Arabidopsis thaliana: one gene and its partner. The protein of the gene in region 2 interacts with the protein of the main gene of each other region in a pairwise test. Each region holds a gene or a part of one and is shown on either strand. Other genes may lie near its edges.

Region 1 (6,242 bases), about 24 Mb from region 2:
AGAAAAAGAAAGGTAAGAGGGAAAGTGACAACAACAATTCTCTTTCAATTTTGGAAAAGTGTATTTTAAAACTCAAAGAACATGAACTAAAACCGTCAATGTATTGTTGAGCAAGAAAAAGAAAACAGAGGAGGGGGGAAATAATTGTGAATTAATTAATTATTTTTGAATTATTGTTAGGATAACAGTTGGAGGATATAATTATAATTAATTATTTGAAATATTGTTAGAGCGATTAATTCATATTTAATATAAGAAGATTAGTTGGTAAAGTTGTTGTTAAATGCTCAAAGAGGGACAAGACCAAAGCCCATGACCACAAAATAAGTTTATTTTGTGTGAAAGAAATTGGAGATGTTGATGTATGTTTCCATCTGATGGTTCTATATTTCTCTATTTATGTGAGAAGTAAATGATTTTCATAGCTATTATACACCATAGTAATATCTATAGATATTTAGAGGAATCGATAGTGAAAGATATACCAAAAGGCTTATATAAGTAGAGTTAAGATATTTTACTTTTTGAAGTAAAGAATAATTTATCTAAAAATGGATTAGAAAGACCAGCTGCTTTAGTTATCTACACATTGTGTTGACTAGAGTGTCCAAGTATTATATCTCTTTGTTTTTTTCCCGGTAATGTTTCTTAGTATATATGTGTCGTCGTTCACAAACTGGTTAAATTAGCTGTCGGATGTGTTTCTTATAAAGTAATGAGGGATCATTCTCTCTAGATGGTTAACATATATAATCGTATGGCTATTTACTTGGATCATGGTCTTGGTCCATATTTAAAGTTAGTGTGTTTGTAAACAATATTATCTGTTACTAACAATTTCGATGATGGATAATACAATATATAATATTTTTTGTTAGATAATTTCATTAAATGATTTCGATTCTCTAAATTCTAGATTTTTATCTTACTAACTTATATGATTATATTATTTTCACAGTTTCATCAATAATTTATTTCACAATAATGTTGGGCGTGGGCTTTGCTCCCACTTTACTCGCTCGGCCCATCAAAAATGAGTAAATGTTAACTGGTTTGATAAGGTGTGAATGTTTTATTTGAAAGCAAAAAAAATCCTAACTTTTTTTTGTCGAAAAAAATCCTCAAAATGATTTAAAAAAGGAATAAAAAAGAACGTTATTTCAATAAAGACGGATTGTACAAAACATAAATTAGTATCGAACTAGTTTGAATTTTATTTCTACCAAAAAAAAAAAGGTTTTAGCATGTTTTGGTCTCTAAACCCAAAGAATGGGCCGAATGTCCAAAACTTCAACAAAAAAAAAAGATTATATACAAAGATATTAACGAAGATAAAATAAATAAAACAAGTTAGCCTAAAACAACTATATTATGGAGTATATTACTTATAAGTCGACGTGTCGGCTAAAGAAATGAAAGTAAGAAGCAGGTTCTTAGGAAAAATGAATCATCGAAACAAAATAAACAATGAAAATGAATCATCGAAAGAATTGATATATATTAGAATCGATCATATATATGGGAATCAAAAAGACGTGTAGATTAGCGGAAGATACGGCGATGATTTTGCTTCTATGTTTTTCGCTTCTCTTAATTAATAAACTATTTTTGGGGTTATAAAGTCTCAGTCCATTAATTTCACCTTACTGCCAGCTAACAATCCCGATGAATTACTCATAAATATTGTAATACAACAATTACTCATAAATATTGTAATACAACACTTTAATTTACGTTCATTCATTTTTTTTATCACTCCAAAAAGATAATGATGTATTTGATATGCGATCCATATTTTTCCCCGACGTCAAGATTTTTTCTATGCCATTTTTTAAAATGAGTTCTTATTATTTACATTGTTGATCATGTGGTTTTACAGTGCCACATTAGTTGCTAAAATTATATACAATACAAATAACTTATATAATTTTTCCTCACCAGTATTAGTGGTCTATGTTTGGAGTATTTTTTATATAACATATATGGTACCGACTCGATTCAATTGATTAAATACCATAAAAGATAATTCTGTCTATAGACAATCTTTTACAATATTCTTTTTTTAAAAAAAAAAATACCTTAATTTGGGTTCATTTGAGTTTAACAAATTAAAAGTGAAAAAGAACTAATGAAAACTCAGTATTCTTACTACAATTTTCAATAAATATCGAAATTTATAATTAATTAATACTTAATTTACATTTTTCATATTTATATTTATCCATTCAGTTAATTGAAAATTAAAAATAAAATAATAATGTGAATATGTTTTATTGGTTAAATAAAAATGTAGTAGATTTTACGATATATTAAACATACAACTTTTTTTTGGTTAAGAACTATTGTATAGAGTAAGGTTTCAAATAATAACAATGGAACAAATTTTTTGTCCAAAAAAAAAAAAAATGGAACAAATTTAACTGTGAGAAAATAGTGGGATAGAAGCAAATAATGGAACCAGTGCAGTTAGTACGAAATGAAAGAATATGTGGAAGTATCATAAATATGTAAAATTTAAAAGTTAGAATACCAAAATTTTAGCTATCTTTTTAAAGAGGATCTAAAAAGTATCAGAAAACATGTAAGGTTGTGTTTATTAGAACTATTCATCTAGTAGAAAAGTGATTGTCATTATCTTCAAGTATCACATTAAAAAAAAAAAAAAAAATGTTGTGTAGTGTCTGTCGATGAACATCGGAGTAAAATGGATGTCATTATCTTGAAAGAACTAAGAAATATGAGTGTCCATAGGCAGAGTAACAAGTTGTTACTAACAACATTACAAGGAGACAATGACTACAAAAAAACAAAACAAATACAAGCATTTTTAGTAACCATACGTTTTAGGCATGCTAGTCCAATATTCCCAGTTAAGGAAATGTACAAAAAATAACATATGTCTAGCTAGAATTCTATGCATTCATAACTTCGAAGCTTCAAACTGATAAGAGTTTAAAAAATGACGTAAAATATTGAATTTGATCTAATGCCAGCTTCTTTTTCTAATCAGTTTAATCAAACTCAATAAATTAAAAAAAAATCTTAAGAATACGTCACTAGCTTAAATAAAATATTAGACATAAACCACTTATATAAACCTTTATCATAACATAACTACACAAACACATTGTCTCTCTTTGCTTACCAATAGACAACCTTAAAGCCACTTTTCGTCAACAAGACACACAAAAACCCTAAACAAAAAATCACTTATCAAACTTATTAGTGTCTAATGGCACTCGTTAATGACCATCCCAACGAGACCAATTACTTGTCAAAACAAAATTCCTCCTCTTCCGAAGATCTCTCCTCGCCGGGACTGGATCAGCCAGATGCAGCTTATGCCGGTGGAGGAGGAGGAGGAGGCTCGGCTTCGAGCAGTAGCACGATGAATTCAGATCATCAACAACATCAGGGGTTTGTATTTTACCCATCCGGTGAAGATCATCACAACTCTTTGATGGATTTCAACGGATCATCATTTCTTAACTTTGATCATCACGAGAGCTTTCCTCCTCCAGCCATAAGCTGTGGTGGTAGTAGCGGTGGGGGCGGCTTCTCCTTCTTGGAGGGCAACAACATGAGCTACGGCTTCACAAACTGGAATCATCAACATCATATGGATATTATTAGCCCTAGATCCACCGAAACTCCCCAAGGCCAGAAAGACTGGTTATATTCTGATTCAACTGTTGTAACCACTGGTTCTAGAAACGAGTCTCTTTCGCCTAAATCCGCTGGAAACAAACGTTCTCACACGGTAATTACAAACAACAAAGTCTTGGTGAATATTTTTCATATAAGATGTCAATGAAAGATCGTTGATATATACTACTATCAATTTGAATTATGGATATATAGGGAGAGAGCACTCAACCGTCGAAGAAACTGAGTAGCGGTGTGACCGGAAAGACCAAGCCTAAGCCAACAACTTCACCTAAAGATCCACAAAGCCTAGCAGCCAAGGTTTGCTTTCTTGACATTAATTTACATTCATTAAAATAAAACTCAATCTCTCAACACATATTTACATATGTTTTATTTTGTTCAGAATCGAAGAGAAAGGATAAGTGAACGTCTCAAGATATTGCAAGAACTTGTTCCCAATGGCACCAAGGTACACATCCATATAACCATTTATGACAGATTTATTATATTACTTATTCTCATGATAATAATATTTGTTATGTTTCACAGGTTGATTTGGTGACAATGCTTGAAAAGGCTATTAGTTATGTCAAGTTCCTTCAAGTACAAGTTAAGGTATATTAGTTATGACAAACATCCCTCAAATTAATTTTCAGGATTGATTTAATTACCATATTTATCGAATTATTACGTAACACGTATTGATATAATCTATTGTTTGTTAGGTATTAGCGACCGATGAGTTTTGGCCGGCTCAAGGAGGAAAAGCTCCTGACATTTCTCAAGTTAAAGACGCCATTGATGCCATTCTCTCCTCATCACAACGAGACAGGAATTCGAATCTGATCACCAATTAATGAAGGGTTTTATCATTAATAAATCAGTTTATCAAACATTAATTACGTACGTTGTAATAATATCGGGGGAAACAATGATTCTCTCGATTATAAATCCCACGTAAATTTTGAAATATGATCCAAAGAGAAGACAATCGAGATTATGTAACGTTAGATTATGTGAAAATCGAGAAGTTCTTAATGCATCTATAACGAAGAGAAGACAAGAGACATTGAATTCACCGATGATCAGTCTGATATGGGTCCACACGGGGATGGAATCTTTAACTAGTAAATAAGTGTTAAAAACATAAATATGTTTTTCAATTTCTTTTTCTGTTTTAATTGTATTTTGTGTGTTTTAGTCTACGGAATACAGATCTTTTATTTAAACTCCAAGAAATGAGTAATAAAATTCTTCACTTTTGTTTTTTCCTTGAGGTTTCAGTTTCAGAGAATCTATCTTTTTGTCATCTTTCTTTGTCTATTTGAGCTTGGCTTTATTAAAGCTAGCTCTTGAGCGACATGCTTATTTATTTAAAATTCGTCAAAAGTTTGTCACACATATTATAGGGTCTCTATATAGATTGCAATGCATAGTATTTTTTGAAAAAAAAGATAAACTATGAATTTCTATTACCAAAATAGACCATTTTTTTATTTATAATTGCTCTAGGACGACGAGTTCTTCTGTGCAAAACATTTTCACATTCTCTGTATGAATGATCAAAACATAATGTTAACCTAGTTTGCTTGGCTAAAACATTTTATGATATAATTTTGGTACACTAAAATATGTATTTTCGAAAATATAAACATTTTTATATGTAGGTAAATAAGTATTCAACCAAAAGTTGAGAAATCTTAAAATCAGTGATGAATAGCATATATTTTTTTTATCAATTAATTGTAGGATAACCATACACTGATACACATCAGCACCTTTATCGTATAAAATTATTTCTCAAATTAAGTATGAGATTATATTAATTGATTGGACGACATACCTAAGATCTCGATTTATCAGCCCATGTCAGCATGTGTCCTTTGGGAAAGATTAGGGATACGTGTTCTTATTAATTTATACATTGTTTTCATTTGAATTGATATTCAAATGTATGTCCAAAATTATTAAATTAATTAACTACATGATTAGCCACATGGATAATCCCACTTTAGGCGCTGTACTTGTATTTATGTACTTACGAGCTCCATCAAGTCAATAAGACAAACGAAGTTATTAAGAAGTCCAATAATCTATTTATTTTATAATCCATTACATGATTCCATATTTATCTTACTAGACTGGCATTATGTAAACAAATGAATGAATTGAAACGAAATATCAAAATTTCAATTCGATTTGTTTTCAGAAGTTTTGTAAAATATTAGTCTTATTGTATTATATTACACTTGAGTTTATTTATAGAAACAGAAAAAAATCAATTTTATTACCTTTTAAATGTTATTTTCTAAATCATTTACTTAAGTTAGGTTAAAATAAATGTATATGCACATGAAAGGAAAAACAATTGACAATTTGACATTAAAAATATAATTTTGAAAAGAAGTATTAACTTTGCCAAAAAGAAACTAAAAGAAGTATTAACTACATATAACCGTCAATTGTAGTCACTCACTGGTAATTGTAATTCGTTCCAAAACTTTAAGAATCATAAAACAAAGATATAAAACCTAAAATCATTCAAAAAATAATCCAAACCATCCCTAAATTATATTGGATTAGTTGTAATAATA
Region 2 (7,377 bases):
AATCAATATTGAGGTGTGTAAGAGTAAGGTTGGTTTTGGTTTTGCCTTAGATTCATATGTCCTTGTCTTCCGTCTCTAGAGTATTGATCCCACATCATCTGTTCTTCCATCAACATCCTCTGTTTCTTCTCCATATCATTCATCTGCACATATGCTGGCGGCGCAACCTCCAATGACGCTGCAAATGGATCCATGGGAACCGGACTGTTAATGTTTCCGGCGTTTCCATTAGCCGTTGATGGTGCTGGAAGTGCCAGCATAGTTGCTGTAATCAATAGAATATTCATGTCAAATCATCAGAATGCAAACTGAAACAGAGCAAAATTTATAACTAAAAACAGAGCAAAAAATTCTAAGAAGTTTAAGAACAGAGCAAAGTAATGTTTGTTTAAAACCTGCTGGTCTTCCTGCAGAACCAAATGCCATACTGCTCGCGCTTCCGCTGGCTCCATAAGCCGTCGATGTTTTCACGGCAGCGTTTACAGCGCCGTGCTGATACATTCCGTTAAGCAACAACATATCAAAGCCTCCTCCGAGTTCTGACTTTTGTCCTGACAAGTTTGTAGCTGTTTGCACCAAAGCTGTTTCCCAATCCGCAGAATCATCCTTAAACGCTTCCCATCCTGGACCAGACTCTGAACCAGAACCGCTTGCGTATGGCCCGTCAAATAAAGCCAACGCTAAGCTATCTCCAGCTTGTCCTGCTTCACCGCCGTTTGTATTCCCAAGATCAAGTAAATCACCCATTTCTTCTTGTTTCTTCTCTATGATCACTTCTTCCTTTGCTTCTTCCTCAGGTTTTACGTCATCTTCTTCTTTTGGTGGAGGTTCAGGTAAGGCCTTTATTGCGTTCATATCTTCTTGCTCTTCATTTACTTCCTCTGTTCTCGCTTCATCATCATCTTCATCGGCTTCAGATTTAACAGATTTTGATTGCTTGGTGTGTTCTAAAGCAGATTTGTCTCTTATAAACTCATCCATGAGATCAAGCTTCTTCTGTGTGATCTTCTCTATCTCTGGATACTCAGAAGACCGTGCGATCCCCATGTTCTTACACCAAGAGTAGAACTGATCGAGCTCTTCGAATTGTTTCGAGACCCGGCAGAAAATGTCATAGACCTTGATCGAATCAGGAATATCTAACTCCATGAATCGTTCAATCAAAATCCCCATTATCTCTGTTACATCGTAATATATCTGAAAACTCTCCTTCACTATCGGATACAGAGCCACAATCACAACTCTGTTGTTCCTCGCATTACCTGTTAACAAAATAACATTGGTCCTTATATAAATTTTTATCCAAGAAACAAACACACACAGAGAAAGAAATCTTGAGACGCAAGTTATTACCTGTTGGGCGACAAGCCAAGAAACGGTCAAGAAGTTGCTGCAAATGTTGGATTCTGATGAAAATCTGCTCTGTTTTCATCTCGGCGATCGGTTGTGACCTGACCACGATAGCCGTGGAGAGATCTGCCGCAGCTTGATCCTGTTCTTCTTCGTCAGCTTCTCCTCCAACGCAGTAAACTCCACGTTTCCCGTGTCTCGCTTGCATCCTCAAAAATTGCAATGAAAAAAAAAAAAAAACCGCATATCTTAGATATCATTCAAATTACATAAATAACTTGAAATCCCGAATCGGAACCTGGATCAAGCACAAGAACTCTTACCTGAAATCAAGCCTTTCGTCAAGGTACAATGCGTAAGTCCTGACAAACGCAGAGTAGTCCCAAGAATTAGACCTCGAAACATCCCTAAAATCAGACATATTGAGAAGCCTTGTTCCACGGCGAGTGGCGAAGAAGATCTCTTGCTCGTAGGCTTGATCTCCTTCTCCTAAGAGCCTTTGGATCAAAATCAAGGTTTTGAGGGCAACGGTCCAGCATTTGGTTTTATTAAGGCGTCTCGAAAGCGTGCTAACGCAAGCGTTGATGTAACTGCGTGAGTAAGAAGTTAGGCTAAGAATCTCTCTAATGTATTTCTCTTCTGCTGGAAACTCTTCGTGACGAGTGGCTTTGACGATGGCTACGTCAAGTTCAGATAAAGAAGCGCTTCGACCATTGACTTTGGCTAGACCGACGCTGGTTTGGTCCTTTACGGCTCCTATGGCTCGTTTAAACTTACTCGAACCCATTTTTATTCTGATTAGTTAGTAAATTTGTATTAAAGACAAAAAAAAGAAAAGAAAATATGTAAAAGAAAAGATTTGAAGAGAGAAAAGGGAAGAACGAGGCTTGTTTTTATTTTGTTTTTGTTTTTCCTCGTCGTTTCCTTTTTTCTCCTCTGTTTCTTGTTTAGTTTTGTTTTGTTTCTTCTTCTTCTTCTTCTATGTTTTTGTTTGTTTGTTTCGTCAATGTAGTTTCTTTGTTGTTCGTCGATTATTCACCATCTAAAGTCGCCGAGGTTATTGGAGGCTTTGTCCGGTGAGAAATATGGCCACGTGGCAAAAAATTAACTTATTGTTTGACGGGTCAACTGAAATTTAGTTTGCATTTGCCATTAATGGGTAAGGAGAAGAGTACTGATTAAAGAGGAAAAAACTTTCTTCTAATTTGTAAAAAAAAATACACCAAGCTTTTTTCTTATGGATTGGAAGCCCAAGATTGAATTATGGAATCCAACAAATCAAAATCGATCCAAGCCCATTTCTGCTGACATATTTTTTACTCGTATTATATTCAGAAATGCCACAATTTTGTTTTGTGAAAAATAGAAAAACCCTTGTCTCTCAAAATGGAAAACGAGTCGGACAACGGTTCAGCACTAAGGAGAAGCAAGTTGTAATACCATATGGCAAAATGAAACGTGTCATTTTTATATTGGATATTAGAAACTTTACTCCATGAGTGCTAAATTTCGGAAAAAACGACAAAGACAGATTTTTTTAAAAAAATCTTATTTTCTACCACTAACGAGATGACGACGACCCCGACAATGCGTAGAATTTTTCCCATATCATTTATATATTTTAAAAAAAGAAAGTTATATTGGTTTTTAACATTCTACTAAAAAGAGTTTGGTAAAAGACCTTTTTCTTAATTTGATATGAATAAATTGAAGAAAGTCAAAACAAAAAGCCCACTTCAAAACAAATAAAGCCCACTTCAAGTTTCTGGAAGGTATATAAGAACAAGGGCAAAACCGAAAATAAACCACAAAGTAAGGTCCTTTTAACAAAAATAAAATGAAAGAGAGCATAAAGTGAGTCTTTTTGTCATATCCTTTCTCGTCTGTGTCTCTTCGTCCTCATTAGCTTAAGCATCATCATTCTCTCACCTAACAACTCCACACAAGATTCTTCGCATGGAAAGTTGTTCTTCGACTTCTCTTCTCTAACTCGCTATCTTTTAACTCACCCAGCTCCACTGAGTCGAAAATTTCAAACCTTTACTCGTTTCCTTCATGGCTAATAACAACAACATCCCACATGATAGCATCTCCGATCCATCTCCTACCGACGATTTCTTCGAGCAGATCCTCGGGCTTTCCAACTTCTCCGGTTCTTCAGGTTCTGGTCTCTCTGGAATCGGCGGCGTGGGTCCACCTCCGATGATGCTTCAGCTTGGTTCAGGCAACGAAGGGAATCATAATCATATGGGTGCCATTGGAGGAGGTGGACCTGTAGGGTTTCATAATCAGATGTTTCCGTTGGGATTAAGTCTCGATCAAGGGAAAGGACATGGCTTTCTTAAACCTGATGAAACTGGTAAACGTTTCCAAGACGATGTTCTTGATAATCGATGTTCCTCTATGAAACCTGTAAGTTTCTCTTCAGAATCTTCACTTTGTCTTTTTCTTTTGTGTTCTCGAGAAAATAAAGTGAAATTCAAATCTTTAGGGTTTCAAAATGGTGTCGTTTTTGAGAAAACCCAGCTTAGGTCTAAATTTGATAGTTACCGAGAGTTTTTGGCTCAGATTGGTGAGATTTGATGTTTTTGAAGAAACCCAAGTTGAAGATTTTGATGTGTTTTAAAGTCATAACACTAAAATTAGTTTTGCAAGAAACTTTAGTATAAAAGAGTGTTCTTTTATGTCCAAATTATATTGTAAGAAAATTTGCTCTTTAGTTTCTTTTCTCATGTGGATAATTCCGTCATAGTTTGAATTGTTGCTATAACTACTCTAGTGGCGACCGTTCTTGTGAGAAGCGGTTTTTAAGCTTTTCTTAATGTTATTACGGCATTGTTTTGTGTTTTGTTGAAGATTTTCCATGGGCAGCCAATGTCACAGCCAGCTCCACCAATGCCGCATCAACAGTCTACTATTCGGCCTAGAGTTAGGGCTAGGCGAGGTCAAGCTACCGATCCACATAGCATCGCTGAGAGGGTAAGATGTTTGATACACTTTTTTTATCTTCTGGTCTCTTTTTTCGATTTTTATGTGATAATGTTTGATCAAAGCTTTAATTATAGCTTTTGGTTGAGAAAGTTCGATTAGTTCTTACTTACTAAGAACGGTAAGACCTAACCTGAATGTATTTGCTTTGCAACAGCTCCGAAGGGAAAGAATAGCAGAACGGATCAGGTCGTTGCAGGAACTTGTACCTACCGTTAACAAGGTTGGTATCTTTTTCTCTAGAGCTTCAGCTACTGTTTTCATGTCGCGAAGAGAGCTTGAAAGAGATTTTAAAAGTAGGGAGAAAACTAGAGTTGTCAATGAGAGAAAAGTTTTGTGATTGGCATATAGAAACTGCGGTATTCACATCTGTTTCTTTTGCTTTCCTTTTGCAGACAGATAGGGCTGCTATGATCGACGAGATTGTCGATTATGTAAAGTTTCTCAGGCTCCAAGTTAAGGTAAACACCCAAGTCATTTTCAGTTTTCTATTCTCTGGTTTTTGAAAATGCTATCATTAAAAGTTTGTAGAAAGATTATTTAAAACAGCCAGAAGGATTTAGTGGTGTAAATCCTTGGTCCCCACCACCACCTACTCTCTTAAACCAAACTTCCAATCTTAATAAAAGATTATAATTGTTTAATCTGGCAATAAAGAGTAATCAAAGAGTACATGATTGTGTGTTTTTTGGCATTAGTGTCTTTCACTTTTTGCTTGCTTCCCTCCCATGGAGAATCATCACAATTGAGGACTATTGTAATAAAGCTAATGAGAACATTGAAGAATATTTTATGCAATGATGGGCTTTGATAATATTTTTCCTTCATAAGCTTTATCTCTGGTCAACTATGGCAGGTCCTGAGCATGAGCCGTCTTGGTGGAGCCGGTGCTGTCGCACCACTAGTCACTGAAATGCCATTATCTTCATCAGTTGAGGTTAGACTAGAGAGAGATACTTCATTAAAAAAAGAACAGAACTTTGGTAATGGTTTTTCTTGCACTGACTTGTGGTGTAAAAACTTTCTTCAGGATGAGACGCAGGCCGTGTGGGAGAAATGGTCAAACGATGGGACAGAGAGGCAAGTGGCTAAGCTGATGGAAGAAAACGTTGGAGCAGCGATGCAACTTTTGCAATCAAAGGCTCTTTGCATAATGCCGATCTCATTGGCAATGGCGATTTACCATTCTCAGCCACCAGACACATCTTCTTCAATCGTCAAACCAGAGATGAATCCTCCACCGTAGATTTTTGTTCATCCAACGGTCCCCAGCTGATGATTGACATTTTGCTCTGTTTCCCACTACTAGACTTTTGTGACTCATGAAAGGTAAGTAAAAAGGCATTGGAGATGGAATCTAAGTAGGATTTGTGCAGTAAAGAAGTAAAACGGGATCTGTCAAAAGAAGGAAAAAGCTCTCGCTTGCTTGGCTAGTATTTATCATTTTGATGAAAGTAACTCTTTTTTGTTCAAAGACTTTAGTGTGATTTTCAGGACCAAGGGCTTTGAGGGTAGTGCTAGCTGTAGTAATAGTAATGAAGGTGTGGGATCGTGTTTCTGAATTATGTAAAAAAGGAAGAAAAAACAAATGTTGGTATTATATTATGGTTTTGCCTCTCTTTTTTTTCTTGCACTAATTTGGATAGACCATTTAACTATTCAAAATGATATAGTTGGGAGCTGGACTGATTATAATTAGGTAATTTCCCGCGCATTCAAACACTTTATGCATTAGAACTTCTAATTTAGAAGTATAAAACACATTGTCTGAACAAAATCCGTGAGTATGCAGAGAACACTAGCATACACAGTTTACTGCGAACAAATTGCTTATTGGAAGTTTCCGTTGCAAGAAAAAGACATTGTAGACCAAAGGCAATCTTCCCTTGAAGCGCAACATTGTCTTTTGTTATTCATCTTATTCTGTTTCGTCCAATAGCCCCCTTGAAAGTAGATTCAAATGTTCATAGATCTGATCAGTAGATCAGCGTTTGTCTTTGACTTTATTATCAGCTCTGCGTTGGGTCGGTCATTATAATCCACCTGCCATCCAAATTTGAAAAAAAGAAGCAGCTAGCTACCTTGAACAAACCATTGAAACCATGTAACTGAATATTAAGTAGAGTAGAGCCAGAGCTTTTACCCGCCATTTAGCAACATCTGGGGGTTTACCTGTAATTCACAAAGGGAAAACGGATTAAACAAAAGCGAGATTCTCTGAGGTCATTGCGGGTTCTCAAGAATCGAAATAAGAGAAATTGTACACACCAGTTGAGATATGCCGGTTTTCAACACGTTGCATTGCTGTATCGAGATTCACATCGATGAACCTTGAATTGAAGATGGAAAGACATCAATTGGTAAAACCGAACTCAAATACCACGAGTGAGTGAGAAAAGGAAAAAACACTTTTGATTAGTCTTTACCATTTCTCATCAAACATATCTGAGATGTCTTTCCAAGACCCTTCTTCTAACAAGATGTAGTTTCCTTCTACAATTACCACTTTATGCCTAAGAAGAGGACATAAGTTAGCTGACTGTCTCCGGAATAGGCAAACAAAACCATTTCATATTACACTAGATTCGGATTTGACAGATTTAGGAAGCTACTGACTACTTACTGGAGGCTAACAAAGATATCATCTTCAACTGGATCCCCAACTCCATGATCAAATGATGGCACATAAACTGAGCCCTGGAAAGCTTGAAAACTAATCAGAGTCTATTGTAAGTCTCCCAACTTCAAGATCCTAAGGTCAACAAGATTTTGTAACCACCTCTTTACCTCGTTTTTCAGCTTCTTTAAACAGTTAAGCAGTAGTGCAGGATCAAAAGTCCACGGAGCTGATTAGTGGATAGAAGGGTCAAACCAAGTTTGAACATTTCGAAAAAATCTTTGAATAAGACAATTATAACAGATCTCACCCCCTCTTCTCGCATGGGCTTCTTTGGGATCCTAGAGTGACAAAACAAAATACAGAATTCCTCTTAAACAACAAAGAGAAAGAGACATAATAAGAGAAATATAACTCAGCAA

What was found. The genes of interacting proteins can lie anywhere in the genome.
Region 1: the proteins of AT1G03040 (region 2) and RHD6 interact in binary tests that used the Arabidopsis thaliana proteins (3 or more experiments, as listed by UniProt).

What each region holds. Positions count from the first base shown.
Region 1 is NC_003070.9:24,792,094-24,798,335, forward strand, and holds RHD6 (ROOT HAIR DEFECTIVE6), read left to right. Parts: upstream 1-3,120; 5' UTR 3,121-3,232; coding exon 3,233-3,760; intron 3,761-3,861; coding exon 3,862-3,966; intron 3,967-4,051; coding exon 4,052-4,117; intron 4,118-4,197; coding exon 4,198-4,263; intron 4,264-4,373; coding exon 4,374-4,505; 3' UTR 4,506-4,922; downstream 4,923-6,242. UniProt on the Arabidopsis thaliana protein: Transcription factor that is specifically required for the development of root hairs. Acts with RSL1 to positively regulate root hair development. Acts downstream of genes that regulate epidermal pattern formation, such as GL2.
Region 2 is NC_003070.9:702,486-709,862, reverse strand, and holds AT1G03040 (basic helix-loop-helix (bHLH) DNA-binding superfamily protein), read left to right. Parts: upstream 1-3,198; 5' UTR 3,199-3,405; coding exon 3,406-3,762; intron 3,763-4,206; coding exon 4,207-4,329; intron 4,330-4,495; coding exon 4,496-4,561; intron 4,562-4,733; coding exon 4,734-4,799; intron 4,800-5,194; coding exon 5,195-5,584; 3' UTR 5,585-6,014; downstream 6,015-7,377. Other genes in the region: AT1G03050 (ENTH/ANTH/VHS superfamily protein), read right to left, coding at 3-265, 396-1,262, 1,354-1,559, 1,674-2,137; AT1G03030 (P-loop containing nucleoside triphosphate hydrolases superfamily protein), read right to left, coding at 6,295-6,381, 6,482-6,510, 6,607-6,668, 6,765-6,851, 6,962-7,035, 7,126-7,184, 7,266-7,296.